Linked DNA regions of Ovis aries. The protein of the gene in region 1 interacts with the protein of each later gene in a pairwise test. Links are inferred from orthologs where the notes say so. Each region holds a gene or a part of one and is shown in the gene's direction. Other genes may lie near its edges. The genes, in order: LRP6 and GSK3A.

The links.
Region 2: the proteins of LRP6 (region 1) and GSK3A interact in binary tests that used the Homo sapiens proteins (3 or more experiments, as listed by UniProt). The link is inferred for Ovis aries from reciprocal best matches to the Homo sapiens genes LRP6 and GSK3A.

What each region holds. Positions count from the first base shown.
Region 1 is NC_056056.1:203,186,807-203,202,321, forward strand, and holds the start of LRP6 (low-density lipoprotein receptor-related protein 6), read left to right. Parts: upstream 1-6,702; 5' UTR 6,703-6,908; coding exon of another isoform or gene 6,909-7,019; coding exon 7,020-7,074; intron 7,075-15,515. UniProt on the Homo sapiens protein: Component of the Wnt-Fzd-LRP5-LRP6 complex that triggers beta-catenin signaling through inducing aggregation of receptor-ligand complexes into ribosome-sized signalosomes.
Region 2 is NC_056067.1:50,608,527-50,623,915, forward strand, and holds GSK3A (glycogen synthase kinase-3 alpha), read left to right. Parts: upstream 1-5,511; 5' UTR 5,512-5,639; coding exon 5,640-5,922; intron 5,923-7,651; coding exon 7,652-7,839; intron 7,840-9,135; coding exon 9,136-9,219; intron 9,220-9,381; coding exon 9,382-9,492; intron 9,493-11,091; coding exon 11,092-11,222; intron 11,223-11,316; coding exon 11,317-11,423; intron 11,424-12,358; coding exon 12,359-12,456; intron 12,457-12,534; coding exon 12,535-12,630; intron 12,631-12,988; coding exon 12,989-13,175; intron 13,176-13,478; coding exon 13,479-13,571; intron 13,572-14,140; coding exon 14,141-14,214; 3' UTR 14,215-14,824; downstream 14,825-15,389. Other genes in the region: ETS domain-containing transcription factor ERF, read left to right, coding at 1-709. UniProt on the Homo sapiens protein: Constitutively active protein kinase that acts as a negative regulator in the hormonal control of glucose homeostasis, Wnt signaling and regulation of transcription factors and microtubules, by phosphorylating and inactivating glycogen synthase (GYS1 or GYS2), CTNNB1/beta-catenin, APC and AXIN1.

The sequences.
Region 1 (15,515 bases):
AATACAGAAGGCCAACTGGGCTTCCTTGGTGGCTCAGTCGGTAAAGAACCTGCCTGCAGTGCAGACTAGGGTTCGATTCCTGGGTCAGGAAGATCCCCTGGAGAAGGAAAAGGCAACCCACTCCAGTATTCTTGCCCGGAAAATCCCAATCCTATGGACAGAAGAACCTGGTGGGCTATAGTCCACGGGGTCACAAGAGTCAGACACAATTTGGTGACTAAACCACCACTGTGTTTGCTATGGTTAATCACTTTTTATCCTGGCATCACTTTCAACCAGCTTTCCACTTGCCTCTTTCTGTCTCTTGCCCTAACCTCTCCCAACCAAGTACTAACCAGGCCTAACTCTGCTTAGCTTCCAAGATTTGCCATGGTTCTGCCAAGATTTACTTTTCTAGTCACACTGCTGCTGCTGCTGCTGCTGCTGCTGCTGCTGCTAAGTCACTTCAGTCATGTCCGACTCTGTGCAACCCCATAGACAGCAGCTCCACCGTCCCTGGGATTCTCCAGGCAAGAACACTGGAGTCTAGTCACACTAAATGTTCTATTCTCTCCTTAGGGAAGTTTATGGTTTCAACTATATCATCTCTGCACTCAGCCTGCCAATGAATTGACCCCAAGGTGACTTCACCTGAACTAGAAAAGAATTTCCCTTCCTGAAGATGTCATACAGTCATTATCCAGAAAATTGTGGCAATAACTTCTTGATTACTATTTAACATTCTATAGTAAGTCCCCTGGATTGTATGGTGTACACGCTCCACAATTACCATTGATAGCTGTGTTCTCCATTCCTCTCCCAAGTCTAAACTTCTATATCAAAACGCTCTCCTGGAGGGTGTGGCAAAAAAGGAACCCTCCTGTACTGTTGGTAGGAATGTAAATTAGTGCAGCCACTATGGAGAACAGTATGGAGGTTCCTCAAAGAACTGAAAATAGAGCTACAAAATGATCCAGCAATCCCACTCCTGGACATATATCCAGAGAAAAGCATAATTTGAAAAGATACAGGCACCCCAATGTCCACTGCAGCACTACTTACAATAGCCAAGACATGGGAACAACCTATATGTTCAACAGGGCAGTGGATAAAGATGTGGGGCATACATACAGTGGAATATCACTCAGCTGACTTTGCAACCCCATGGACTATAGCCCACCAGGCTCCATGGAATTCAGGAATTCTCCAGGCAAGAATTGAACTCAGGTCTCCTGCAATGCAGGAAAATTCTTTATTATCTTTGCCATTAGGAAGCCCTAAAAAAAAGAATGAAACAATGCCATTTGCAGCAACATGGATGGACGTAGGGATTGTCATACTGAGTGAATTAAATCAGACAAAGACAAATATCATATGATATTGCATGGCTGAGCGACTGAACTGATGGCTTATACGTGGAATCTATTAAAAAAAAAAAAGACACAGAAACAGAACTATAGATGTAGAAACCAACTTATGGTTATCAGGAGGTATGTGGGGGGATAAACTGGGAGACTGGGATGGACATATACATACTACTATATGAAATAAATAACTAATAAGAACCTACTGTATGGCACAGCGAACTCTACTCAATATTCTGTAATTGCCTATATGGGAAAAGAATCTAAAACAGGAGTACATATATGTGTAACTGATTGACTTTGCTATATACCTGAAACTAACATCACATTATATGTAAACCAACTACACTCCAATAAAAATTTAAGAAAAACAGAACAACACATTCTCCTGGATAGCTGCAGCTCGGTGTTTTACAAACATTGCCAGTATAAAAGGCCCATTGTTGAACTTACCATCAGTCCCTCTTGAAATGCTCCTTATGCATTTCTTTTCTTAGTAAATTAGACTGCCATTCACTGGGATGCATAATTTAGAAACCTGGAAATTCATCCTAGTCTACTTCTGTCTCTCCCAATTCACATCTGATAGGTCACCAAGTCCTGCAGTTTTGATCTCATATTCCTGAAATCCACCACCTCTTTTCAAACTCGAGTGCTGCTGTCCTGACCATCTCTTTCATAGACTAAAAATAACTTCATCACTGGTCTTCCTACTTTTTTTTTTTTTTTTTTTGCCTTGCCTCCCTTCTGTTACCCACACTGCTGCCAGAGGAATTACTTAACATTCAAATCAATTCTCACCATGAGAAAAATCCTTCAATATCCATACTGTCAAGAGGTGAAAATCTAAACTTCTTAGCATGACTTTAAAAGCTCTTTATTATCCAATACCTACTTAACGGTCTTGCCTCATTTCCTGATATTCTCTGAAAGCGCCCTAGGCTTCAGATATATGGATCTACTTTCAAATTCCCAACATGCCAAGCTCTCTCTCTAATAATTCAGTGCCTTTGCACCTGCTCTCCTTCTGCTTGGAATTCCTTGTCAGTCGTGATGGCTTGACAAACTCTGACTTAAATTTCAAGACTCAACTGCAGGGTTATTTTCCCTTCTTTAAATTGTTCAGTTCGCCATATGTGCTGTGTACTTGAGTTCCTTGTTGATATGGTACAAACATGCACTATAAATAAATTTTAACTTTATTTTTGTTTCATTAATTGGATTTTTTAAACTAGGTTGTGAGCTTCTAGACAGTAGGGACTATATGATTAATCTCATCTTTGCATGCTCAGCACTTTACTGAGACTGGCCTTGAATATTTTTAATAGGCACTTGAATGCATGTGAAACAAATTATTAAGAAGAACAGCAACCTGACTGAACTTAAGCTATTGATTTTCACCTAAGTAGTTTTAAAGAAATTGCAAAAAATAAATAATACATTAAAGCAAATTTAAGAACAGAAAACTAAAGTAAATTTCCTATTATTACACTATCCTAATCACTGTTTTAGTGCATTTAGTTTTCATCTTTTCTCAAGCATGTGATATTAATATATATATGTTTATGTTGAAACATGTATGTATATATTTATATTTTATATAGCTGTAATTAAAGTCTATTGGAGAAGCGTTCTTGCCTGGAGAAATCCCAGGGACGGCAGAGCCTGGTGGGCTGCCATCTATGAGGTCTCACAGAGTCGGACACGACTCAAGCAACTTAGCAGCAGCAGCAATTAAAATCTACATGCACTTTGGGATTTCCCTGGTGGTCCAGTGGCTGAGATTCTGTGATCTCAATGCAAGGGACCCCAGTTCAATCCCTGGTCAGGAACTAGATCCCACATGCCACAACTAAGACTTTGCATGCCATACTAAAGATCCTACAATCTGTACTAAGACCTGGTGCAGCCAAATAAATAAGTTTTTTTTAAAAAAGCATTTTTATAAGTTTTCAAGCTTAGCGAACTGTAAACATTTTTCTAACAGTTTTATAGCCTCCAAATTATTATTTTCCAGGACTACAAATATCTCAACTCCCTACTAAGGTTGATAGTCTAAATGAGACTTAGGTTATACCCAGTTTTCTATTATAAATAGGAATAGATCCAGGTTTTGTGAACCTGAAATTTATACAATTTTGAGTGACGTTTTCAGAAAAAGAACACAAAATTATCTTACTTTTGCAAATAGAACCATGTGAACACATTGTGTTTCACAGGGGCCTGTGAAAGTGGGAAGGGAGTCCTGAAGGTTAATTTTCATTGGCTTTGCAGTTATTGACCTCCAACTAGAAATAATCCTGGACTAAACATTTTGAGCCTGAATTTGTTTTCCCCTTTGCTTCCATGGTGTCTAAAGGATTCCCAGTTACCAGGATCCCATTTGCCTTGTGGGGGTTGGGAAAGGAAATGGTCATTTATTGAGCACCTATTACATAATGACCAGTTTCTATATATTTTTAAATTTAATTCCTACCACAAGCCTGAAAACTAAAATCTCCATGTTACAGATGAGAAAACTGAGGTGCAGTGCGCTTAAATCGTATGCCCAGAGTTACACATCTAGTGACTGAAAGGGTTGGACCCTTCTGGTCTTATTCCAAAGCTCATACCTTCCTGACTACATCAGGGTGTCTCCACAGCCTCATAGCTTCAAGGTAATGTTTTCTAGGTTATTGTGGAAATCCGGTTATTAGTGATTTGTTTTGAGGATGACAGAATACAAAACTTGCAGAATCCTGACACGGTTAATGGAAGAAGGTAATTTAGATCAGTGGTGGCTAGACTTTCACAGGTGCATTTAGGAGAAAGATTTGGCTCTTTCTAGGAATACCAGACCACCTAACCTGCCTCTTGAGAAATCTGTATGCAGGTCAGGAAGCAACAGTTAGAACTGGACATGGAACAACAGACTGGTTCCAAATAGGAAAAGGAGTACGTCAAGGCTGTATATTGTCACCCTGCTTATTTAACTTATGTGCAGAGTACATCAAGAGAAACGCTGGACTGGAAGAAACACAAGCTGGAATCAAGACTGCCAGGAGAAATATCAGTAACTTTAGATATGCAGATGACACCACCCTTATGGCAGAAAGTGAAGAGGAGCTAAAAAGCCTCTTGATGAAAGTGAAAGAGGAGAGTGAAAAAGTTGGCTTAAAGCTCAACATTCAGAAAATGAAGATCATGGCATCTGGTCCCATCACTTCATGGGAAATAGATGGGGAAACAGTGGAAACAGTGTCAGACTCTATTTTTTTGGGCTCCAAAATCCCTGCAGATGGTGACTGCAGCCATGAAATTAAAAGACGCTTACTCCTTGGAAGAAAAGTTATGACCAACCTAGACCTATTGAAAAGCAGAGACATTACTTTGCCGACTAAGGTCCATCTAGTCAAGGCTATGGTTTTTCCTGTGGTCATGTATGGATGTGAGAGTTGGACTGTGAAGAAGGCTGAGCGCCGAAGAATTGATGCTTTTGAACTGTGGTGTTGGAGAAGAGTCTTGAGAGTCCCTTGGACTACAAGGAGATCCAACCAGTCCAGTCTGAAGGAGATCAACCCTGGGATTTCTTTGGAAGGAATGATGCTGAAGCTGAAGCTCCAGTACTTTGGCCACCTCATGTGGAGAGTTGACTCATTGGAAAAGGCTCTGATGCTGGGAGGGATTGGGGGCAGGAGGAGAAGGGGATGACCCAGGATGAGATGGCTGGATGGCATCACAGACTCGATGGACGTGAGTCTGAATGAGCTCCCAGAGATGGTGATGGACAGGGAGGCCTGGCGGGCTGCCATTCATGGGGTCGCAAAGAGTCCTACACGACTGAGCGACTGAACTGAACTGAGCCTGCCTGGATAGAGAAGGCAATGGCATCCCACTCCAGTACTCTTGCCTGGAAAATCCCATGGACGGAGGAGCCTGGCGGCCTACAGTCTCCGGGGTCCCATGAGAGTCGGACACGACTGATTCGCTAAACAATCTGCTTACAGACACGCATCACCTTGGCTCGGTGTCCATTTCCTGGAAATAGCAGAGCATCTGTGGTCGGAAGACCTGGGTTAGGTTAGGACTTGCTATAGTCTACGTGAGTGACCTTGGGAAAGTCATTGAATCCCCTAGTTTCCCATTTTCCTCTTCTGCAATGAGGATGCCAAGTGACACAACCTGTCTTACCCCAGGGTAGTTATGAGTGTCAAATCTGACTGTGAGCAGCACTTGGTGAACCTCAGTGTTACTACGATATTGAGTACCACTGCTGGAGTAGCTCCAGCTCCGCGCCACCTGCCCACAGTAAGGTTGAGTGACAGGTGGATGGATTGCTGCTGATGGCTCCTTTAGGTTAACTCTCAGTGGTGCCATCCCAGCTTCACCCGCACCCCCCACCCCCAAGCTGCCACGTGATTCCAAGGGCTTCTGGGCCGTTACTCCTGAACGCCCAGTGAAAGGCGGCTGCTGCGGCGAGCAGCCGGCCAGAGGCTGTGCAAAATCGAGTCTGAGATTCCGAGGAATCTTTTCCTCCTCAATCTGAGAGCGGATCGTCACAACATGCCAGACATTCATCACTAAACGCAGTTTGCAAAATCCTAGCACCGTTCTGCCCACCGTCCCTTTGCTTTGTTAGGTGCTGACGCATTTATCTTGGAATTTTATCTGCCGGGTTAGAAATCCTTTAGTCCTTGGGGGGGGGGGGGGGGGGGGCAGTCTGTAGTTCTGGGAAACCAGGAGAAAATTAAAAAAAAAATTCAGTTTTCTGTTGGCGTTTGAATACCCTTCACCAGATCCATGTTGAAAGCCGATGGAAGCAATATTAGTTTTCATTTTCCTTAAAAAAAAAAAAAAAAGATGCTTAAACAGATTTCCAACCCTGGGACTAAAGTCATGCCTCGTATCGGGATCTAGGTGAATCTCCGAGCGTGGACCTGCGGCTCTGCAGGCCCAGCCAGCCGTCTCCTGCCGCCCACCTTGGCCCCGGCCCAGGTGGCGGCCGGCGTGGACCTGGAGCCTCACCTGGCTCGGTCGGCGGCGGCCGCACAAAGAGCGGCGCAGGCGGCTGCCGGGCCGAGCCGCAGAAAGTAGTCCCGACCACGCCGGCTCCCGATGTTGTTCGACGTCGCTTCACGCCCTCCGCGGGGAGGGCCGAAGGGTCCGGCCCGGGAAAGAATCCCTTCGGAATGCGCCACTGGGCGGCCTGTCCCCTCTGGCCCGCTTCTACTGGTCCCGCAGATCTCCCGGGGTCTCCTCGCCGAGGCTGTGCGCACGGTTTCCTCTCCTTTTCTAACCTGCCCGGGAGGCGGCACCGAGGGAGGGGAGGGCTCGCCCGCGCGCAGGGAGACCTCGGCGGCGATCCGTGACGGTGGGAGGCGTATCCCTGCGCCGCTGCGTGAGAGGAAGAGGCTGAATGAGGAGCTGCGCGGGGGAAGCGGGGCGCCGGGGGAGGAGGCGGCGGGATGGAAGCAGACGCTGGCGTCGCGCGAGCTCCGGGCGGAGCGGCGCGGTAGAGAGGGCGGCGGCGGCGGCAGCGCGCGCGGAGCCTTGACGGGCCCCCTTTTCTTTCTTCTCTCTGGAAAGCTGGGAAGCATGAGCGTGCAGACCTGCCGCTGCGGCGGCCGCCCCGGCTCCTCGCCTCCCCCTCTTCGGGCCGCCCCTCGCCGGTGAGAGAAGCGAACGCGAGCAGGGAAGATGGGGGCCGTCCTGAGGAGCCTCCTGGCCTGCAGTTTCTGCGTGCTCCTGAGAGGTGGGAGAGAAAGCGGGGGGACGGGAAAGTTGGTGGGGTTTGCGGGAGGGAAGGAGGGGGTCTCGTTCTGTTGTGTCTACGGAGGGGAGGGGAGGGTGGGGGAGGCGAAGCTGGGGAAGGAGTTGGGAGAGGCCTGGTCGTGGGGAAGGAGGGAGCAAGGGGCCCGGGAGAAGGGGCTGCGCGCTCCGCCCGGCCACGCTGCAGCCCCCGCCTCGCTTGCCCCACCGCGTCCGGACAGAGCGTTCGTCCGGGCTGCCTGGCGGGGTGACCTCCCCCCGGAGCCCCATCCTGTCCGAGTGACTGGAGATCGGTGGGTCTCCTGCCTGCAGTCACCGGGGACGAGGGGCTTTGTATGGATCTTGGCTCTCGGAACGTTGGAGCCCAAGATGCTTCAGCGCTTGGATTTCTCCCTCCAAGCCCCCACCTTTTCCCTGTGGGTCCCGTGAACTTTTAGAGCCCTCTTACTATTTTTTCCAGGCCTTGTAGCAACTAATAACTGGTTTCCGTGGAGGATGTAATGATCGTGGGTGAGAGCATAGTTGGAAAGGGACTCCGAGGTTATAGGTCGAGTGTTTTCAGCCTTGGGGAATCGCCTGGGCTCCAGCCCGTAATAAAATAGAAACGTTGCCCTTGCAACCTCTGGCATTCAGGACTTGCCCCTATTTTCGGAGCATGCAAGTGTACAGTTGGCACCAAGTAGGAAAGTCATCCTTGGTGGAGAGGAGCCTGTCCTGGGACCTAAGTTATCATCTGCTGCGCTCCCCTGGAGACTGCGTGGCACGTTGGTAAATAACATAGGCTATTCTAGGTAATTTGCCCTGAGAATCGCGTAAATTCAATGGTCCCAGGTTTTGTTTTTTAGATTGGCCTGCGAAACTGTCACACATGCTGCGACTTTTTTGTGACAGTTCACTGAGGTTTTTGACTGGCCTGCAAGATTTCAACAGCTCTTCTCACATCAGTGGTGAAGTGGTGATGACTCTGATGCTATGGGGCATTTACCAGCAGAGGAATTTAAGTACCAATTGATGGAATGACTTGAAGCTTTGGTTTCAGTTAACAATTCTCGCTTGTGTTCACGGTCAGTTCTTTTCAGGTATGGGACCTCTTGGGTCTAAGGAGATTTTTAGCTGTTAATTTAATAGGCTAAATTTATGTTCAATGTGCACACTTACTTTAGTTTCCAGAACACAATAGTAACAGTCTTGTGTTATAAATGAGCTGGATATGCCATTTCTGAGTATATGTTTATTGGATAAGCGTGATTGACATTGTTTTGGAGGAGGAATTTTTTTCTTTAGTTACACTTCAGGATTATTCAGGGAGATCCCCTGGAGAAGGAAATGGCAACCCACTCCAATGTTCTTGCCTGGGAAATCCCATGGACCAAGGAGTCTGGCAAGCTACAGTCCTTGGGGGTCACAAAAGAGCTGTTGATTTAACTGAGACACAGCTGAAGTGACTGAACAGCAGCCGCAACAGCAGGATTATTAGGTCTGCCTGTTTTATATACTTATACTTAATTACAACTCATTGTAAGCGTATTCTAAACTATTTCCACGTGTAAACTTTAGAAAGCTAGTGCTTATTTTATTTTCTTGGCAGAGAATTGGATGTAGTGGTATGTACTTGAGAGGTCTAGTAATTATATATTCATTTTAGTATGATATAGTTCCTATTGAAGGGGATTTTGCTATAGTTGTGAGAAACAATTTTATTTGACATAGAATATGGGTATATTTTAAGACAGAAGGTTAATAGAATTAACAAATAGAGTCCCCTGTTGGGTTAAAGCCTTGGTGAAATTGCATTCCATTACCCAGATGCTTCTGGTTGCCCAGTTGTATTTCTTGGAAGAGGAGGTTATGTTGTAAATGCCACTTGTTTAACACCAGAATTGAGCCCAGAATTGAGTTTATTCATTATTGGAGTTAAGAGAAGTTACATTTGAAATAATATTGTGACGTATGATATTATGTAAGAAGACCTAGAAAAGTTAATAGTGCAAATTGCTTCATTTCCACCAACAGAATTTCCAAAAGTGAAGCTCTTATTTTAAATATAGTCTAATCATGGTTTAAGGTGGCCTTTGAATTTAACATACTTAACCATGGGTATATATTTGAACTAAAACTATTTTTACTGTGAAAGATTTTTATTCATAATTTAGGTTCTTCTCATTCCTTGATAATGTCATCCTCTTAAAATTGTGTTATTAGTTAATCTTGGACTCCAGGGAGAAGTGATTACTTTGTTGTATTAAGATCACTTGTTGTATTAAGATCACTTTTCTTCACAGAAGAGTTGGAGGTTTAACATTGGGAAGATGGGATGATGGGAGAGTTTGGGAGACCTTTGGTCCTCTGGCCCAGTTAAATCAATAGCTGAAAGCCGGGAAATAATGCTATCATTATCTGGACTGTGTCCTCATCCTTATCATCAGAGGACAAGGTGTAATGGAAAGATTGGGGGACTTCAGCACCCAAATCTTGAGTTTAAAGTCCATGCTGCCGCTGTTAAGTCACTTCAGTTGTGTCCAATTCTGTGTGACCCCACAGATGTGGAATCCTGTCCCTGGGATTCTCTAGGCAAGAACACTGGAGTGGGTTGCCATTTCCTTCTCCAATGCAGAAAAGTGAAAAGTGAAAGTGAAGTCGTTCAGTCCTGTCTGACTCTTCGCGACCCCATGGACTCCAGCCTGCCAGGCTCCTCCGTCCATGGGATTTTCCAGGCAAAAGTACTGGAGTGGGTTGCCATTGCCTTCTCCTAAAGTCCGTGCTTCACTACCAAATAACCTTATGATTCTGATCTAGTCAGTTTCTCTGGGCTCCAGTTTCTTTATATGTAAAATGTGGGTAGTATTACCAAGCTAGTTTGCAAATTTTTTGGTCATATTAAATGAAATACTGAATATAAAGTGATTTGCAAATGTTATTTTTTGTTACAATTTTCAATGGTAGACATATCCTCAGATGCTGGGGATTTGAGATTTAATTTCTATGAGATTCACAAGTTCTTAAAGATTTTGATCCTCTGGTCTAACCACTTCATTTGCAAGTGGGGAAACTCACATTCAGAGAGATTATAACTTGATCAAAATCTTACAGCTGATTAATATTAGAGCATGGATTTATTGTTCATTCTTTCAGCGATTAGCTGTGGAATACCTACTGTGTATCAGACTCTGATGGTACATTGGTAAGCAAAATCAACATGGGCCCTGCTCTGATGGACCTCACCATCTAGGTTGCCATCCTTAACTTCCATCCAGTTACTGGTTAGAAAAGATTATAGCTCTGATTTCCTAGAAAAGGAAAGTTATGACCAACCTAGATAGCATATTCAAAAGCAGAGACATTACTTTGCCAACAAAGGTCTGTCTAGTCAAGGCTATGGTTTTTCCAGTAGTCATGTATGGATGTGAGAGTTGGACTGTGAAGAAGCTGAGCACGTGAGAATTGATACTTTTGAACTGTGGTGTTGGAGAAGACTCTTGAGAGTCCCTTGGACTGCAAGGAGATCGGTCCTGGGATTTCTTTGGAGGGAATGATGCTGAAGCTCAAACTCCAGTCCTTTGGCCACCTCATTCGAAGAGCTGACTCATTGGAAAAGACTTTGATGCTGGAAGGGATTGGGGGCAGGAGGGAAAGGGGACGACAGAGGATGAGATGGCTGGATGGCATCACTGACTTGATGGACATGAGTTTGAGTGAACTCCAGGAGATGGTGATGGACAGGGAGGCCTGGCTTGCTGCAATTCATGGGGTTGAAAAGAGTCGGACACGACTGAGCGACTGAACTGAAAAGTTTTGGAATACCGTAGGTGTGTAAATTTTATAAATACTGTGTCCCAGCATATTTTGAGAAGGCTTTGTTGTTTTGTAAGAATCCTGTGCTACTCATCTTTTGTTGTTAATTTGTTTTGGTGGGGTTGGGGGGGGCAGTGGTGGTAAATACTGTTAGCACAAGCCACTAGTGTTTTCCATCTCAAATTTTTATAGGAGTGGTCCTTGGCGAATTAATTAATATCCAGTATAATGAGACCTTAGGAGGATAGAATGAATTTTGGAGTGGGAATCAGAATTGATTCTCATTCTAAGTTTGCCAGTAGCTAGCTGTGTGACCTTGGATAGGTCATTTCATCTTTGTACACCTTCATTAGCTTCATTAGGATAATGAATCTTCTTTTGCAGGTTCTTAATTCATAGTAACACACTAAGGGCTCTGAGAGGTTATAGGGTAGAGACCAGTTTTAACTTTGTTAAAATCTACTGTTTCCCAAACTCAACAATGAACTTTTTTTGGTGAATTCTGTAATTTTGTAACATTCTGCTGAACCTGTGTTCCAAGAACACATGTAGAGAGAACCTGAGCTAGGTAGCCTTTTAAGCATTAGGGTGAGTCATGTGAATTGATATTTGATGACAGTTTCATATAATTAAATTTGATACTTTAATCCCTGCTTACTTACTTGGCTTTAGATTTGCTCATCTGGCTAGGAAATAATTTGGTTATGAAACTTTTGGGTTTCAGCTCATTGTTTTCATCAGGCCTAACAGTAATTTCCCATGGTTCAGTTTTTCAGAGAATTTTTCTTTTCTTTAATTGAAATTTTTCCATTTGCTGAACTGAAATGCTTTTCTGTATAGTTAATTGTATATGCTCTGACTATCAGAAAGGTTAGTCTTTTTTTGAGTATCAAGGAAGGTTCTTTGAAGGAGTATATAAATGGAAAGTATTCTATGTGAATTTATAAACTGAACATAATAGAAAAATAAGTAAACAGGTTATAGTTATGTTTAGGCCATGGGTAAGTACTATGAGAAAATTGATTTTTATCATGGAAATTTTATTGCAAACATATTCTCAGAAGACTATACGGAGGGGCACTGTAGCAGAAAGCTATAGGCTTTATTGACAAACCAAGTTCAAGTCTTCTACCACTTTGGCACCCTTGGACAGGTTACCTAGCTTTGGTTCCTACTATTAGATGGGGATAGTATCTTCCAAGATTTCTGTGAGAACTCATTTTTTGTTTGCAAAGGGATAGATAGCATAATGCATGGTCAGTAGTAGATTTTGTGTGAAGAGTTTCTATTGTTAAATGGCTAATTTAAAAGAAATATTAATGCTCAGGAAAGACAAAACATGTTTTGGGCACTGTTTTAGGCCAGTAGGTTTTGAACTTGATTATTCTGCAACTAGAACTACATGAAATACTTCGATATTTTCTGTTTTAATTTAAATAAACAACACGGCCTCTATCTACTTAATTTATCTTACCTTTTAAGGGATTACAACTTGAACCTTTTATGTGATTATTATAAATAAGAATAAATAGTTGGTTATGATATTTATTTTAAAATTGCCCATATTTATGGAGAAAATAAAGTATTTCTAATTGAAATGTTTGTCATTGTATTATTTGTTTATAATAATTAAAATCATTCGATTGATGGACTTCTCCCTGTAGGGTGGGTAAATACTATACTGAGCTCCTGCCTTGTATGTTTCATGCTTTATATGAGAGAGAGTCTTTATATTTCTTCTGTAAAAGGAGCCTCCCCTTAATGAATAGAATTCTGCTTCTTGTGAATAACTTGGAAATTTAGTCAGATACCTGGACTAGGCAACCTAAAGAATAGAATGTTTGCCTTTGAGATTATTGATTTAAAACATAATTCATCATAAGTATAAGGAAAACAGTTATTTGTTATTATTAGTACCTGCTTTTGTTTCTCAAGCTGTTAGTGTTATTTGTGGCAGTAGTGACTTTTCGCACAAAAGGTTTAGGTCATTCACATGAGAGATTGGAAAATTCTGAAATGTGCCTGGGCTCAGTTTAGTGAAAACTAAGTAATTCAGTGCTAAATTTTGTTTCTGTAATACCTTGCTTGGAAGGGCCAGGAGCTTGGGGATGTGGAGTGAAATCATACTTTTAGGCAAAAAAATAAAATAGTGAATTTTTAAGTTGCTAATTGACACTAGAAAGATGAATGACTGACCTAAGGCCAGATTGCTTGTACTCTGGACAGTAATTTTACACACAGTGCCTTCTGTGTGCATCTGAATTCACCTGTACCTTATGGATTTGAAAGTGATACCAATCACTTTTGATAGGGGAAAATAAATATCATTGTAATTTTGGAGGTCAAGAGGCTCTTTTGCCCAGCAATCTTGATTCCAGCTTGTGCTTCTTCCACCCCAGGGTTTCTCAGGATGTACTCTGCAGATAAGTTAAATAAGCAGGGTGACAACAGACTGGTTCCAAATAGGAAAAGGAGTACGTCAAGGCTGTATACTGTCACCCTGCTTATTTAACTTATCTGCAGAGTACATCATGAGAAACCCTGGGGTGGAAGAAGCACAAGCTGGAATCAAGATTGCCGGGAGAAATATCAATAACTTCAGATATGCAGATGACACCACCCTTATGGCAGAAAGCGAAGAAGAACTAAAGAGCCTCTTGATGAAAGTGAAAGAGGAGAGTGAAAAAATTGGCTTAAAACTCAACATTCAGAAAACTTAAGATCATGGCATCTGGTCCCATCACTTCATGACAAATAGATGGGGAAACAGTGGAAACAGTGACAGAGTTTATTTTTGGGCTCCAAAATCACTGCAGATGGTGACGGCAGCCATGAAATTAAAAGACGCTTACTCCTTGGAAGAAAAGTTATGACCAACCTAGATAGTATATTCAAAAGCAGAAACATTACTTTGCCAACAAAGGTCAGTCTAGTTAAAGCTATGGTTTTTCCAGTAGTCATGTATGGATGTGAAAGTTGGACTATAAAGAGAGCTGAGTGCTGAAGAATTGATGCTTTTGAACTGTGGTGTTGGAGAAGACTCTTGAGAGTCCCTTGGACTGCAAGGAGATCCAACCAGTCCTAAAGGAAATCAGTCCTGAATATTCATTGGAAGGACTGATGCTGAAGCTGAAACTCCCAATACTTTGGCCACCTGATGCTAAGAAGTGACTCACTGGAAAAGACCCTGATGCTGGGAAAGATTGAAGGCGGGAGAAGGGGACGATAGGGATTGAGATGGTTGGATGGCATCACCGACTCAACGGGCATGAGTTTGAGTAAACTCCGGTTAGTTGGTGATGGACAGGGAGGCCGGACGGGCTGCGGTCTATGGGATTGCAGAGTCAGACACGACTGAACTGAACTAAATTTTGGAGTTTGCATGTAGGTGGTTTGTTGTATTACTGATAAGTAAAAGCCAATCCAGGTTTGAGTAAGGAAAGACTTTATTCAGAAAGATAATTGCAATAGGGAGAATGCTCTGACTGCACCATCTGCAGGCATTTCAAAATAAAACACAAAAAGATTTGTATGAAGGGTGAGCAGTCTAGCAGGAACTTTGTAGGAGTGTGAGCTGAGTGGGTGATGGTGAGCAGATTCAAGATGAGGAAAGTGAAACTGGAGTTTCTAATTTCCTGCAGAGTCGGTTGATGGCCTGGAAAGAGCTGTTGGGGACCTAAACATCAGCTTGCTTAAATTTAGGGCTAACCAAACTTTAGGGGCTTGTAGGAAAGAGAAAATTCTGACTAAAGTTAGACTTTTTGGTCGAGCCAAGTCAGTGGCTAAGCAGGGGCCATTTTGAGCACTTGGTCAGTCCTACTGTTGCTTAAAACAAAATTTGTCAGTCTTAGGAATATGTTTCAGTCCACTCAGTCTGCTCTAACAGACTATAGACTGGATGACTTATAAACAACAGAACTTCATTTATCACAGTCTGGAGGCTGATAGCCCAACAGCAGGGTCTCAGTATGGTCAGATTCTGGTCAGGACTCTCTTCAGGTTGCAACAGCTAAGACTTCATTTTGTATCCTCTCAGGGCAGAGAGAAAAGAGCTCTCCCTGGACTCTTATAAGGGTACTGGTCCCATTTATGAGGATTTCGCCCTTATGACCTCCCCAAGGCCCTGCCTCCTGATAACATTCACTTGAGGGGGAGTGTAAGGTTTCAGCATATGAATTTTGAGGGGCACAAACATTCAGTCCACAACAAGGTAGGCTAAAGTCATTGTAAGTTTGGTCTGATTATTTATGTAGGTGTAGGCATTTTAAGTTTGCTTCAGTGGGATTTTTTAATAAGGAATCTTGGAATGAACTTTAAAAGCCCCTTGAGGCCAAGAAAGCCAAGTCAGGTACTCACCATTGGATTTCACTTGCAGTACTTAGAGATTTGGGTGAATTCTTGAAGTCCCCAGAATATCCTGGGGTTCCTGCCTGAAATTAACTTTGCTTACTTTACCTTTAAGTCTGAGAACTATGTAAGCCAAGTACCAGTCTGGTTTTCCCAAGAGGACTGTAAGCATTGCTCCATTAAATCAACCACAGCTCCTTGAAAGTGTCTGGTGGTATTAGATTAAAGGAACATGACTTTCAAATATGACATCCAGTCAAAGCCTTGGTTGCATAATAATGTTTC
Region 2 (15,389 bases), on another chromosome or scaffold:
CCACACCCAAAGCGTCTACAACTACCACCTCAGCCCCCGCGCCTTCCTGCACTACCCCGGGCTGGTGGTGCCACAGCCCCAGCGCCCCGACAAGTGCCCGCTGCCGCCCATGGCCCCCGAGACCCCACCGGTCCCCTCCTCGGCCTCGTCCTCCTCTTCCTCCTCTCCATTCAAGTTTAAGCTCCAGCCGCCCCCCCTGGGACGCCGGCAGCGGGCTGCTGGGGAGAAGGCCCCGGCGGGCGCTGATAAGGGCGGCAGCCTGGCCCTCGGCGGTGCAGGCGGGTTGGCCGAGGGTGCCGGGGTGCTGGCCCCGCCACCGCCACCGCCACCGCAGATCAAGGTGGAACCGATCTCCGAAGGCGAGTCGGAGGAGGTGGAGGTGACTGACATCAGCGACGAGGATGAAGAAGATGGGGAGGTGTTCAAGACGCCTCGTGTGCCGCCTGCACCCCCAAAGCCCGACCCGGGCGAGGTGCCCGGGGTTGCCCAGTGCATGCCTCTCAAGCTGCGCTTTAAACGCCGCTGGAGTGAAGACTGTCGCCTCGAAGGGGGTGGGGGCCCCGCTGGGGGCCTTGAGGATGAGGGTGAGGACAAGAAGGTGCGTGGGGAGGGGCCTGGGGAGGCTGGGGGGCCCCTCACCCCAAGGCGGGTGAGTTCTGACCTCCAGCACGCCACAGCCCAGCTCTCTCTGGAGCATCGAGATTCCTGAGGGCTGTGGGCAGGGGACCCCCATTCCCCCCACCCCCATGCCTCTTTTGCTGCCTTAACCCCCCCATTACCTGGAGGTGAGGGCAGCTTTTTAGGCTCGCTCTGCCTCCTCCTCTTTCCCGTCCCCCATGTTTTGTATAAAACTTTTAATTTTTTTTTTTTTTAATGATGAGGGTGGGTGGGTGCCCAGGGTGGGGGGCCATCCCCTTTCCCTGTGGGTTTCTAAGCTCCGGGCAAAGTGGTGGGGGTGGGAGGGAGGGGGGAGTTAAGGGGGCCACCTCCATTCTGGGGAATTTATATTTGAACTGAGGCTCCGGCCTCAAAGCCCAGGAACTTTTTTATCACAATCGTTTAGGAAGTAAAGCCTGTCTCCCTCCCTGTCCTCTGCCTCTGGTACTTCTCTCCCTGTCTATCCCCGGCTGTCCTCAGCCCCAGTCCTGCCTTCCCCGCCCCTCCAGGGGCCGTGAGTGCCTGGGTTTCTCATAGCCCCACAGGGTTGCAGCAGAGGAGGGAGGGACATTTTATGATGAACCAAAAATTCCGTGTTGGGGGGGGTTGGGGGCGGAGGAGGGTGAGGGGTGCCGCCCATAGGCCACAAATCTCTACAAGTGCCTGCTATCCCTCTCCTGGTCCCCACCCCAGTGCCAGTCCAACCCCTTCACCCCCGAGCTGCTCCTAGGACTTGCCCCATAGGCAGGCGGGTGGGGAAAGGGGTGCCCTGAAACCAAACTGGAAGCCCCCTCTGTCTCCCAGCTGGAGCCCCTGGGGTGGGGGTCTGTGGTCAAGCCTTATTCTGTATTGGGGATGGAGGGTGGGTGGGGAGGGAAGTCGGGGGCTGCTGGAGAATGTATTCAAAACAATAAAAACTTTGGACCTTTGGACGCAGTGATCTGAGTGTTGCACGCAGCCACCTCAGGGCCACATCCTTGGCCCTGAGTGGATCCATGGCCAGAGGGCCTAAGCCCATCTGAATGGGTCAAGTCCAGGCCTGGAAATGAACTGACCTTGGGGGGCACTAAACCTCTGGGCCTGGTGGTGAAGGTCTTGGGCATTCTCTGGCCCTCCTCTGGGGATCCACTCTTCCTGGGAGCACTTTTCGGCTCTTCAGTGCCAGGCCATGGCCCTTGTTCTTCTGCCTGAAATGCCTCTCTTCTCTGTGAAGTACTGTTCATTCCTCCAGGCTCTGGTGAAGGCCTGGTGCTCCTTCTGCACTACCTTTGGTGTCCTCTCACATATCAACTCTTAGAGGTGCTTATGAGTTCATCTGGTAGTCCTTTGGTGACAGGCTTGCAGTGTCTTGCAATGTAGATCTTTCAAGGCACTTTAGTGATCTTCCCATCAACCCATGGGAGCACTCTACTAGTAAATTAAGAAGAGACTGGCTTAATTGCAGTTGCTGTTCACCTACTGTGTGCCAGGTACTTAGGAGCTGGAGTTCTTTATCTCCAAGGTGGGAGCTAGCGGCTCACTTAAATGACTTGCCTAAGGCCTTAAGCCCAGCTGGGACTTTAATGAAGTCTGTCTCTGAAATACATGTTCTTTCAACAACTTAGTTCTAAAGCCAGGATGGTTGATTCTAGACCAGGATCTCAAGTTCCTAAGATCTGAGAGGAGAGGTCATAAAGCCAGAAGCCCAAGTTGGAGAGCTTGAATCAGAGATGAAAGAATCAGGAGGAGGTATCCAAGCTGGAGGTGCTTTGAGACAGCACAAGCCATCCAGTGCAGGTGAGGTGCCTGAGGCCCAGAGAGGGAAAGGAATTTTCCAAAGGCCACACAGCTGCTAAGATAATTGAGGGCCCTGGTCTTGCATGGCTTCACCATGAAACCCCACCCTATGCAACTCGGGGGGAAGGAACTGGAAAATCCTACCCACTCATTTCATCCTCATTTCAAGCCAGCCCTGGGTGGGTGGTCCCTGATGATGCCCGTTGGCAGTGAAGAAAGGATCCAGGGCTGGGGTACTGTGAGGCTCCCGTGGAGGCCTGCAGGCAACTGCTCCCTCTCCTGGGTGATGTAAGTCACTCCCTTGGGGTGGGGGCCACTGGGCTATTTCTGGAAGTAGGGATGAGGCGTGTCTCCTGGCAACATGGATGCAGCTAAGTTGGTGGTGGTGTGATGGAGAGAGGGGGATGTCATCACTGAGGTAGGAGGGAGGACCCTGACTAGTGGTCTCAGCACCTGATTCTAGTGCCTTCAGAGCACCTCTAAACCGGATCTACCATGGAGTCAAAGGTGCTCAGCTCCAGAACCCCTCTCCAGATCAGATCACAGCGCAGCCAGATTTCTTTCCCCAAATTCTGGCTGAGTGGGATGTCACACGTGGCCTCTGGTCTTGAAAACTCCAGCAGCTCCTCTCATCTTTAAAGTGGCCCATCTAAATCTATTCAGTTTCTGCAAGATCATACCCTTGCTCCCTTCCACATCTTTCAGGATCTCTGATACCAAGTAAAAGCTCTTTATAGATCTCAAGACACTTCCATCAATTAATTCATATTGTCAGAGACCCTCTCCTTACCTATAATCCCCAGCACTCCCTCAGTCCCCAGAAATTCCTTTCTTAGGCTTCTCAACCATCCCTCACTTCTTCAGGTCCCTCAGAAATACCCTCAGTCACCATCAGTTTCTCACAGTCTCCCACAGATCTTTTACAGACACCTCAAGTCCTTTCTGACTTCACTCCTCTCCAGGAAGACCATTTTACCTCTTCACACCTCTGAGCATCTCTAGACACCCAGAGGTCCCTCATAGCCACTTACAAACCGCTCTAGCACCCCTCAACAAACGTTCTCATCTCGTACAGACATTCGGATAAGATTCCTTCAGACTGACTCCCTCAGACTCCCACGGACCCCCATATCCTCTGGCGGTTGCACACGTGCGGCCCACTCCGCACTTCCCACGGGTTCTGGCCGTTAAGTAACCGCCACTATTCCGCCCTGTTCTCCTGCCCTTGTAAGCCTTCTTGGTCCAGGTTAGAATTCCCCAGGATTTGGGGTTTGAGTCAGATTTTTGCTTTTGGACTCCGAGCCGCCGTCAGAGGGCAGCAGGAACTGTTTGACTGAGGGATTACTACAACTCCCAGAAGCACCCGCTCTGGACTATGCAGTGATGTAGCCGAATTCATTGCGAAGAGAGCGGAAGTGTGACTGTGCTTTGCCTTCTGGTTAATGTAGTACGAAAGGCTTCAGAGTTACTATCCGTCCTGCCCCAGGAGTCCGCTGGGAATTGCACTCAACTACAGCTTGGACGAGACTTTTTTCAAAGGGCAGGGCAATTAGAGTGATCACAGGATCTGATTAAAGTGAAGCCTAGAACTCCATTTCCCGTCATTCCACGAGGCAGGAGAAGAGGGTGACTTCATTTCAGTTACAAATACTTCCGGAACACACAGACGACACATTCACATGAACTCTTATTTCCCAGCACACACTCACACGAGCTCTGTATACACACACACACACACACTCAAACGAACTCCGTTTCCCAGCGCGCTTTGGACTGCCGTCCTTCCGGGTATTAATCGATAAGTGGTGGCAACATAATGCGAGCACAAAACGCGAGGCTACTCCTAGCAGCTGGCTTCCTTCTTTTGGGCCTTCCAGCATCCTGTAATTTAGGAAGCCTGCGGATTCAAAGAGCTTAATGGGATGTTCAAGATAAATTGTGTTTTCATTTTTTTCAACCTTCAGTTCAGCCTCCAGGTGCAACGTACATTGTTAGGAAAAGCTAGACAATATCCGAAGACTGTATTGTCTTGAAAATCCACCGGAAACTTTGTTTCCTAAATCGTTGGCGGGGAGGGTTTTCCTTCCGGATTTGTGGAAACTTGGGAGTGTTTGCACTCCATTTTCCAGTAGTCCCTGATTGACTTCGGCTCTTTCTTGGGACCTGGCATCAGGAGAGGAGGCGTTGAAACTTTCCGCAGTCTCTTTTAGGCGACTGCCTTTCCCCTTTCGCTCACGCTCTTTCCGGCAAACCTCAGCTGTCTTCTCACAAAGGGTCGGGATCCGGTCTGGACTATTCCCCAGCATGCTTCAGGATTACGGTGGACCCCGCCCCCTCAGTCAATGGTAAGGCCGCCTTGAACTCCATTTCCCAGAAGACACAAGGCTCGCTGTAGCAACTACCCTGAAGCCTCGGTGTTGACTACATTTCCCAGCAGGGATTGCGGCCTAGCGAACGAGGGTGGAGGAATGCTCTGCCTCTCCATTTCCTAGCCTATCTCCGGAACTGCAATATCCACTTGGAGCTTAGGAATCACATGGGACTCCATTTCCCGGCGTGCTTTGGAAGTAGCTTTATACCCGCAATGCGGTGAGGGCGTGGCGACGACTACATTTCCCGGCTTGCCTCACAGCCCGATAGCGGCGGGTCCACCGACTCCGACTCAATTTCCCAGAGTGCACTTGGCACCAGTCGACATACAACCAATAAATTAAGTGAGCGATTGGACTCCGTTTCCCGGAGTGCATCGGACCTATACAGCTCACTGACGGAGTTGCCTGAGACTACATTTCTGAGGCACACCTAGGGACGCGCGGTTGCCGCAATGGAGTGAGTGTGCGACTCTGACTCTGCTTCAGAAAGTGCTTCAGAGTCCGTTGTGGGCAATTGTCCAACTTATTGCCCGGGACTCTATTTTCCGAGGTGCAGCGAGACTCATCATCGCCGCAGCCATCTCTGAGGTCTTTGTGGACTCCATTTCCCAGCGTGCCACGCGGCTCTCTGTGAGGGCCTAGAGCGGCGACGGCGTCGCGTAGGGCCGGCGGACTGCATCTCCCAGCGTGCCCCGCGGCGGGCGCTGGGCCGGAGCCGGAGCCCGAGCGGCGCGGCCTGGAAGAGGCCGGAGCCCGGGGGAGGCGGCGGCGGCGGCAGCGGCGGGGGCAGCCCGGGCAGCCCGAGCCCCGCGGCCTGGGCCTGCGCTCGGCGCCATGAGCGGTGGCGCGCCTTCGGGCGGCGGCCCTGGGGGCTCGGGCCGGGCGCGGACCAGCTCGTTCGCGGAGCCAGGCGGCGGAGGCGGCGGCGGCGGCGGCGGCCCGGGGGGTTCGGCCTCTGGCCCAGGCGGCAGCGGCGGCGGGAAGACGTCAGTCGGAGCCATGGGCGGAGGCGTGGGGGCCTCGAGCTCCGGGGGTGGCCCCAGCGGCAGCGGCGGAGGAGGCAGCGGCGGCCCCGGCGCGGGCACCAGCTTCCCGCCGCCCGGAGTGAAGCTGGGCCGTGAGTACTAGCGGTGCCCGTGGCGGGTGGAGATCGGATCCCTGAAGCCACTCAGACGTCGATCAGGTTCTTCTTTATGCTCAGGGAGGAGCTCGAGGTCACTGTGCCTTCCCAAACTGGGATCTGAGATCTACCCCCTCCCGGAGAGAGGGATTCGGGGGGGTTGCCATCACTTGGAGTGTAGAATTAGAATTAGTAATCCTCCAAAAGACAGGGTCACAGGTTCTTGTTCTTCCAGTCCCGAAGTCTTGGGTCCGTGAACCTTAAAAACAGGAATCTGATGTTGCTATCCATTCGAGAACAGATCAGGGGTCATTGTCGCTTGCAAATGGGGCTCAAGGGTTATTGTTTCTCAAGAGAACACGAATAAGATCACCACCACCCAGAGAAGGGATCTGAATTTGCTCCCCTTTAGAGCATGGGGATTTGAGTATCACTTAGAAGCAGGGATTTGGGCTTGCTGTGGCCTCAAAGCCAGGGCTTTCCAAATCTGATATCCAGATTCCCTTTTAAAACACTATCTGCCCATAATATGTAGAATTGTACACCCAATGGTGGAAATTAATGATTCCTGCTTCTTGAGGACAGATTGGAAGTCAGCATACCTTTCAGACCAAGTTCATAGTCACTAATATTCAAGAAAAGATGTCTTTCTTGAAGGGTTTCCTTTCACAGAAAACGCAATGGGGGCAGGGGCGGTTACCAGTCCCTCCCCTAGAATAAGGATGTGAAGTTATACCCATTTCATTATTCTGATGTATGATGTCATTGACTCTGGATAAATAGCTATATAGGATCCTCTCCCTCACTGGCCCCTCTGAATGGATCTGATTCATCACTGACTTCTTTTCTTTGGGGAACCTTTCACCAGTTACCGCAAGAAGAGGGATCCCTGTCCTCCAAGAATGCCACCAACTTTTGCTGCCATCGCAGAATGTTTTGGGAATTTCCTTTAAAGGACTGAGGCTAGGATAAACCCTTGATGATAGAGATCAGGTTCACCATTCTCACTATTAAGTGTTCGTCCATTAGGGACCAGTTACATACACGATGGGGTCTGGGGCTCTGAACCTCACAGGTGAGGTCAGGCCAGTGCTTTTTTCTAGCCCCAGAGTATTTGGGTAAGAGCTAATTGTCTCCCAAAAGTGAGAGTTAGGGCGCTGGCACTCCCTACGGGAAGAGTCATCCTTTTCTGTCACCAGAAACCAGTGGTGAAGTTACCAGCTGCACTTAGGGAGGACTTAAGAGATCACTGTCCCCCAAGTTGTGGGAAAGGTTAGGGCTTTACTGACATAGAAGTACCTCAGGGTTCCTGCTCTCAAGTGGAAGAGGTTAGGTCAGGCTCTCCCTAGAGAGGAGGGAGCAGAAGGCAGTTAGCTCTCATCATGGATGGATTCAACATCTGGGAGTGGTGGTGCCTCCTCACATCAGGAGGGACCAGTAATTTGCTGCTCACCAGAAGTGGAAATTAGAGGTTACCAACCCTGGCACAGCAAGAGGTTTTATGTGTCAGTATTCTCCCCTGTGGAGGAGTCAGGATTTGGGGTTCCCTGAAGGGAAGAGGGGGAAAGGAGACATCTAGGAGCCACCTTTGAAGATGGGGGAGGGACAAAGACCGTCCCCCGCCCATAAGCTTCCTGTAGAGACTCCCTGCCCTCTCACAGCCCCAGGATGGGGTGGTGGCCCGAGGGAAAAGGTCAGTAGATTGTGTGTTCCCTTTGCTCCCCAGGTGACAGTGGGAAGGTAACCACAGTGGTAGCCACTCTAGGCCAAGGCCCGGAGCGCTCCCAGGAGGTGGCTTACACAGACATCAAAGTGATTGGCAGTGGCTCATTTGGGGTCGTGTACCAGGCACGGCTGGCAGACACCAGGGAATTGGTGGCCATCAAGAAGGTTCTCCAGGACAAGAGGTTCAAGGTAGCTTGCGGGGAACGGGGATCAGGAGGTTTGACTGCACATGACTGGTGGGGGAACTCCAGCAAGAGTGCTGGACTTGGGTTTGTACAGGGGGTCTGAGCATGGGCCAGAGGAGAAGAGAGTGAGCTGTGTGGGGATGTGGATTCCAGGAGAACCCAGAGCTGACTTTTATTGGGCTCTTGTTCTTCGTAAGTGCTTTGTAGGCGAGTTTAACAGCGCAAAGATTCTCTGAGGGTAGGTGCTGTTGTTACTCCTATTCTAAGCAAGCAGAAGCTGGAAACTGAGATTCAGATAAGAGAATTGCACAAGGTCAAGTCTAGAATCTGATTCCCAAGCACTTCACCTTAACCACTGAGTTACTCTGCTACCCAGAAGAGAAAGGAAGCTGGTGGGGCTAATTCTGTCTGCGAAGGTCAGGCTCTGCCCCCAGGGTCTGGCACTTGCTGGGAGAAATCCCGCCTGTGCTGCAGATGCCTGGGTGTGGGGCCCAGGCACCCCTGAGGAAGGGGTCCTTTTCCTCATTCATATATAGTGCCCTGTGAGCTGGTAGAGGCCCTTTGGATCCTGTATAGTCGGGACGTAGGAGAAACTGAGCCTGGGCTGAAGAAACCAGGTCAGAGTTTAGGTCTCGGGCAGTGAGGACTCTCAGGGGCAGGTCTTCCTCCAGGGCGCCGGTCAGAATTTGATTATAGGTAAGTCCCGAAAGTGAGAGGAGTCTGAGGATGGGGGCCTCTGAGGCCCCAGGGGGGAACAGGAGAGGCAAGAGCGCTAAGACTGGTCTTGTGGGAAGAGGCTGAGGCTGGATCTCTACTGGGAAGGTGAGGATGAGAAGCCTGGAGGCCAGGACTCGGGATCCGAGCGCCCAGATGCCTTCCGTGAAAGCATGGAGCGGCGTGGGGACTAGGGGCATCTGGATGACCCCTCCCTGTCTAGTGTTGCTCTTGCCAGGCAGGGAAGTGGGCCTCATGTGGCCACATCATGTGATTTTCAAGAGAAGCTGAAAAACTTAGATTTACATGTGAAGTCATTTGCTTTGTAAATCTGAGCAAAAAATCAAACATTTTTAAGAAGTAGGCTGCAAGAAGCACATGTAAGTGATCTGACTTTAGTTGTGTGTGAGGGGAGCTAGGGGTGAGGAATTAGGGGCTGCTCCATATGGGGCCTTGGAGCTAACGCACGGAGTGGCTGCTTGGCCCTGCCGGCAGGAATGGGAGTAGAGCTGTGGTGAGGGGTGCTCGGGAGGGGAGGCGGGGAGAGTGGCTTGTCTACTGAGGCTCTCTTCCCTTGCCCCCCAAGAACCGAGAGCTGCAGATTATGCGTAAGCTGGACCACTGCAATATCGTGAGGCTGAGATACTTTTTCTACTCCAGTGGGGAGAAGGTGAGACCTGGGTGTGGGGATTCCTCCTCCGCTTGGGCTCCACCCATCTGCCTGCCTTTCTCATGGCTGCTCGTCTCTTCCCTTGTTATTCCCCACACCTTCCTCCCCCTCTTCCTTGCCCATTTCTCATGATGCCTCACACCTCTCCTTTGCTCTCTGCAGAAAGATGAGCTTTACCTAAACCTGGTGCTGGAATACGTGCCCGAGACAGTGTACCGGGTGGCCCGCCATTTTACCAAGGCCAAGTTGAACATCCCTATCATCTATGTCAAGGTAGGCAGGCTGGCGGGCTGCGGGGGTCCCACCCACCAAGTCAGGCGCTCCAGACAGACTCTCCCGTCATTTCCAAGTTTACGTTGGTCTCTAGAGGCCTCACGTGCCTTGCCCTTGTCCCTACATCCCCAGAGATGGAGCTCCCCAAAGGCAGGGCATCCCAGGCCGAGGCCTGATGCAGTCAGGGAGGCAGGCTGACCAGGGCTGGGGAGGCTGCACGTTACCGGCTCGTGTCCACCCCAGGAGCCCACCGGCACCAAGCGATGTTGGTGCGGTCAGCTCAGAATCGAGGTGGGGACTTAGAATGCAGAGGCACAATGAGGTCAGAGGCCTGGCCCGTGGAGCCCTGGCAGAGGGGGATGGGAAGGAGGCAGGGTTGGAGGAAACTTAGTGTCCATGGCACCAGGGACTCAGGCATCTTCATGGCCTGCGGAGGCTCATTCCCCTGGTGCTGTGCCCTGTGTGTTACTGTCCCTAAGGACGGATTTGAGTGAGTGACTGGGTGAGTGGGCGGGCTTCGGGATGCTGTGGAGGACAGGACCCGAGCAGCCAGCTGCACGGCGGGAGGAGGGTGGGCTCGCATTTGCGGAGGTTGCATGGGCCGACTTTCCTCCCATTGACTTTAAGGATCCCAGGCCTAGGGGGGTGCTGTGGGACTGCACCTTCTGGGGGGGGCGGGTGGTGGTGATCTGGTCTGTGGACTGTGTCCTGGACCCAGCACTGAGCAGCTCTAGGGGTCCCACTGACTGCGACGCAGACTGCTCCAGAAGAGCTCTCAGTTTAGCAGGGTAGACAGGCGTCATCACAGAGAACTATAAAACTACCAACATTGGCTGACCCGGAAGAAGCACAGGGATTCTGCAAAGAGGAGGCCCCTAGCCCTGCCTGCTTTGGGAGTGAGAAGGATTGAGGAAGGCTTCTGGGAGGAGACTGGGCACAGGGCAAGAAGTTGGCATCTCTGGCCACAGGCACTGGGAACAGAGGAGGCGGTGCCCAGGAGGCGGGCCTGAGCAGTTACACATGCCGGGCAATGGACGAAGCCCTGGGGCCCCAGGGCCCCAGGAGCAATGGAAACACTGAGATCCCTGCTCTTGGCACTTAACGTCCTAGTCAGTAGGAAAGAGAATAGCAGAAAAATCCAGGTGGAGAGGGGCTGGCCTGAGGGTGGTTTTGACTGCTGAGTGAAGGAGGCTGAGCCCTTCCTACAGCCAGTGGGTTCCTTGGTGAGGCTCCCCAGCCTGCTTTAAAACAAGGCCTTCCTGATGTACCTGTCTTGTCCATCAGGCTTCTGCCGAAGTGTGTGTTTGAAGCAGTGGTTTCCAAAGTGTGGACCGGCACCAGCACTACGGGGCTGGTTGCAGAGCTTTATCCTGATCTACCGAATCAGAACCTCTGGGAGTGGGCCCTGCAGTCCTTGTTTTAACATGGCCTCCACGTGATTCTGGTGCTCACCAAAGCTTGAGAACCAAGGGGCAGCGGAAGTGTTTTCAAGACAGGGAGAGTGGGCCCGGAAGGGCTCTGCAGGCCGAGATGGTGGAGCAGGGGTGTGCTCTGCGGGGAGAGCTGGGCTGGAGTTCTGCTATCCCCTGCCCACCCCAGGTGTACATGTACCAGCTCTTCCGGAGCTTGGCCTACATCCACTCCCAGGGCGTGTGTCACCGCGACATCAAGCCCCAGAACCTGCTGGTGGATCCCGACACTGCTGTCCTCAAGCTCTGCGATTTTGGCAGGTGAGCCTCACCTGGGGTGGGCTGGGTGGCTGAAGGGGCGAGGAGGGATCCCGACCCTTGGCCTGTGTTGACTCCTGCCCATATCTTCCTACAGCGCAAAACAGTTGGTCCGCGGGGAGCCCAATGTCTCCTACATCTGTTCTCGCTACTACCGGGCCCCAGAGCTGATCTTCGGAGCCACCGATTACACCTCATCCATCGGTCAGACTTGGCGGGGGGGAGGGGGGGGTAGCAGTCATGGCAGTTTTTGAGGTCCTTCTGTGTGTCTGCCAGGCTCGGTGATAAAGCGTAACACTGTTCCTTTAGCTGGTCCTCACAAATTCAGGAAGGTGACGCTGTCACCTGTCTAAGCTTTAAGTCTAAAGCTTAGAGTGGTGAGGTCACCTGCCCACAGTCAGGTGGGACTGGGCAGGGCTGGGCTTTGAAAGCAGACCTGACTCCAGAGTCCATAGAGCCCTGGAACCTCCCAGGAAGTCCTTTCTCCTCAGTCAGCAGGAGGGGCTGACAGTGACCTTGGGGGAATCGGGAGGTGAAAGGCTTTGCCACCATGAAGGTGTGACCTGTTCACAGGGCCTCGATGTCCTTCCCTGTTGCTGGGGGTGAGAGTGCCAACTTCCAGGCATGAGGAGAGGGTGTGAAAGTGTTCGGAAGAGAAAGTTCATCAGCTTTGCAAGGAAACGTCATGGTCCCTAGGTGTGAACTTGTGCTGTGGGGGTCAAGGTACAGGACTGGAAGGGGTGACTAACCAGGCCACGGCTATTTCCAAGTGCAAGAGAGAGGCCAGAAGTGAGTAAGGCAGCTCATTTAATGCTTTCCCTTCCTGAGGCCCAGAGAACACAGCTGTCTGTTCTGGGCCTGTTGATGTGTCCTCTGAGGCTGCAGAGAAAAGGCTTACTGGGATCAGAGTGGAGAGAGGCGATGGAATCCTCTAGATTGGAGAGTACAGCGTAGTCAGGCAGACTTGGAGGTTCAGAGTCAGGCTTCTGTGTTCCTATACTGTGTGACCTTGTGCAAGGTCCTTTCTCACTGAGCCAAGAAAATGGGGCTCTTGGCATCTCTCAGGGTGATCATGAAGGATAGAAATGGTTGCCCGGGGATGGGCATGGTAGCTCTGACCCTCCCCTGTTCCTCTTCAGATGTGTGGTCGGCTGGCTGTGTACTGGCTGAGCTCCTCTTGGGCCAGCCCATCTTCCCTGGGGACAGTGGGGTGGACCAGCTGGTGGAGATCATCAAGGTGAGGGCAGGGCCAGGGCGGGCAGGGACTGGGCTCAGGGCCAAGGACCTTGGCTCAGACCCCTTCCTTTCCCTACAGGTGCTGGGAACACCAAGCCGGGAACAGATTCGCGAGATGAACCCCAACTACACGGAGTTCAAGTTCCCCCAGATTAAAGCTCACCCCTGGACAAAGGTGGGGCAGGATTCGGGGTTCAGGCAGCGTGGCTGAGGTCCCCACTGGAGGCCAACTGGTCTGGGGACCTGGCTATAGTCATGGCTCAGTAGGGGGTCAGTTGACTTTGATCACATGGCAAAGTTTAAAGCTGAGAACCCCCAGTAAATCCCAGAGGCATGATTTCAGATGGGGAGACGGGCTCACAGCACAGCAGGGGCCAAACAGTCATGGGACCCGAGCGGGTTGCTTATCTGATACAAGCTCACCTCCCCTCAAGAGGCTGCGTGTCAGTTTCCTCATCTGGAAAGCGGGGTTGTGGGGGCAAGCAGGAGCACTCCCGTGCCCAGGGCCTCAGCCATCTCCTCTGCACCCCCAGGTGTTCAAATCGCGGACGCCGCCCGAGGCCATCGCGCTCTGTTCCAGCCTGCTGGAGTACACCCCCTCCTCGAGGCTCTCGCCGCTGGAAGCCTGCGCGCACAGCTTCTTCGATGAACTGCGATGTCCTGGAACCCAGCTCCCCAACAACCGCCCGCTCCCCCCCCTCTTCAATTTCAGTCCTGGTGGTGAGAGCCCAGCCTGGGATCTGGGGTGCTGGAGGGGCAGCCGGAGACAGTGAAGAGCTTGGTGTGGAAGACCGGAGAGCTGAGGGTGGGCTGCAAGGCAGTCCTGGGGCTCAGGAAATAAACCCCTGAGGCAGGGACACCCCAACCCACCTCATCTGCACTCTGCAATCTCCCGTGTTAGGCTCCTTCCAGTTTTAAAGTGTTCGGTGGCTACATCTATCCTTATCTGGTGCCCCTTTCTAACCAGGACTGGGTCGCCAGGTGCCCTGTCCCTTGACTAGACATGTCCATTCCTGTCTCTAGAACTCACCATCCAACCATCTCTCAATGCCATCCTCATCCCTCCTCACTTGAGGTCCCCGGCGGGCACTGCCTCCCTCACCCCATCCTCACAAGGTAAGTTGGAGACCATCTCTTGTGCAGTAAAGCTGCATTTCTCAGTGTATGGGGGAGGGGGCAGTTGTTTGCACAGCACCCCCAGTTTACTGCAGAAATTGTTGACAGGATGTTTCCCATGTGAATGGCCATCTTTGTAAGGCATTATCGCCTGTATTTTGTGTTCAGATGCAGACTGGAAAACGAAAGAGATACATTTGGCCTGCACAAACAGTTAGATTTGTTCCTCCCATTGAAAAGTGAGATCTATTTTATGTGCAGATCCAGATTTCCTGTTTCTCTCGGGGAAGAAATCAGACTGGCAGCAGTGGGCCTGCCTCTGCTCAGGGCGGTCCTGCCAGCTGGAGCTGAGGTCCAGCTGCCCCCTGTGCTAGGGGGGCTGTGCTCCCTTGTGAGTCACTTAGTGACCAACCTGGCCCTTTGGCGTCTGAGTTTGAAACCCTCGACCTAAAGAGACAGCTTTCGGTTTCTAATGTAGCATCTCACACCAGCTTCCTGCCTTGGGGTGGCGGGGTGGGGGTGGGGGTCCAACAGGCCCAGGTTAACCATCTGCTCCTTCCCCCGCTCAGCTTTAAGTGAGGCTCAGACCAGCTCGGACTGGCAGTCGACCGATACCACAGCCACCCTCACTAACTCTTCCTGAGGGCGCCACCGACTACCCTTCCATCTGGGAGCCCTGTGTGGGGCTGGGAAGGGGGGCCATAGCCCACCAAGCTCCTGCCCTGACTGGGCCCCTAGACCAGAGGGCAGAGGTAAACAAGTCCCCACCCCACCCCCCCAGTCCCTCCCTCACCAGCCTCACCCCTGCGGTGGGCTTTTTAAGAGGATTTTAACTGGTTGTGGGGAGGGAAGAGAAGGAAAGACAAGGGATGGGGGGCATGAGGACCTTCCACCCCCTCAGCCTCCCACCCTCCCCCCAGGTCTCCACCTCCTCCAACCCCCTCCCCTACTGTGTCCCTTGTAAATAGAACCAGACCAGCCCCTCTCCTCCTCTTCCCCCCCTCACCCCCCGGGTGTAAATAGATTGTTATAATTTTTTTCTTAAAGAAAATGTCGATTCGCACCGTCCAACCTGGCCCCTTCCCCTTCTACAGCTGTGTCCCTGCTCCTGTCCTCTGTCCCTAAGGCCTCCTCCCTCCTCTCCCGACCCTGGAGGGCAGGGGCAGTGGGGGAGCTCCTGATGTCTTAGTTTTCACAGTAAGGTTTGCCTGTGTACAGACCTCCGTTCAATAAATTATTGGCATGAAAACCTGCTTCCTGTCTAGACACCTGTTTTCACAGAGGTGAGGGAGGGCCTGCGGCAGGGTGGGCTGGGACAGTGGGCTGCGTCTCAGGCAGGGGAGCAGGGTGGAGTGAACCCAGGCGGGCCCAGGCCTCCTGTGCCTCAGCTCCGTGCACGTGGTGAGCGGCCTCTGGGTTACCCACTGCAGCACACATCATCTGCTTCCACTTAGGGAGGGAAGTACCGTCATTCCCAGGTGACTGGTGAAAGAGCTGGCCATCAGATAAGTCAGGGCCACAGAACATAAGTAGCAGAGTCAAAGTTTGAATAAAGGGCTCCCTATATCATAGCCTGAGCCACCTGCCGCTTAAGGGGGACACAGAATGATGAGGGGGGTCACTTGGGCCAAAACAACCTTGATACAGACTCTTGGTGGGCATGGATGGGGCAGAGGAGCCGTTTCCAAACCCTAGCAGACAGCCCCAAGCCTTCATTGCTGTCTTAAACAGGACCCTACTGTGCCCACCTCTAGGGATGGTGGAAAGTGACAACTCTGGGAAGGTTGTTGCAGAGGGCCGGATTTTTCTCCTTGCTTT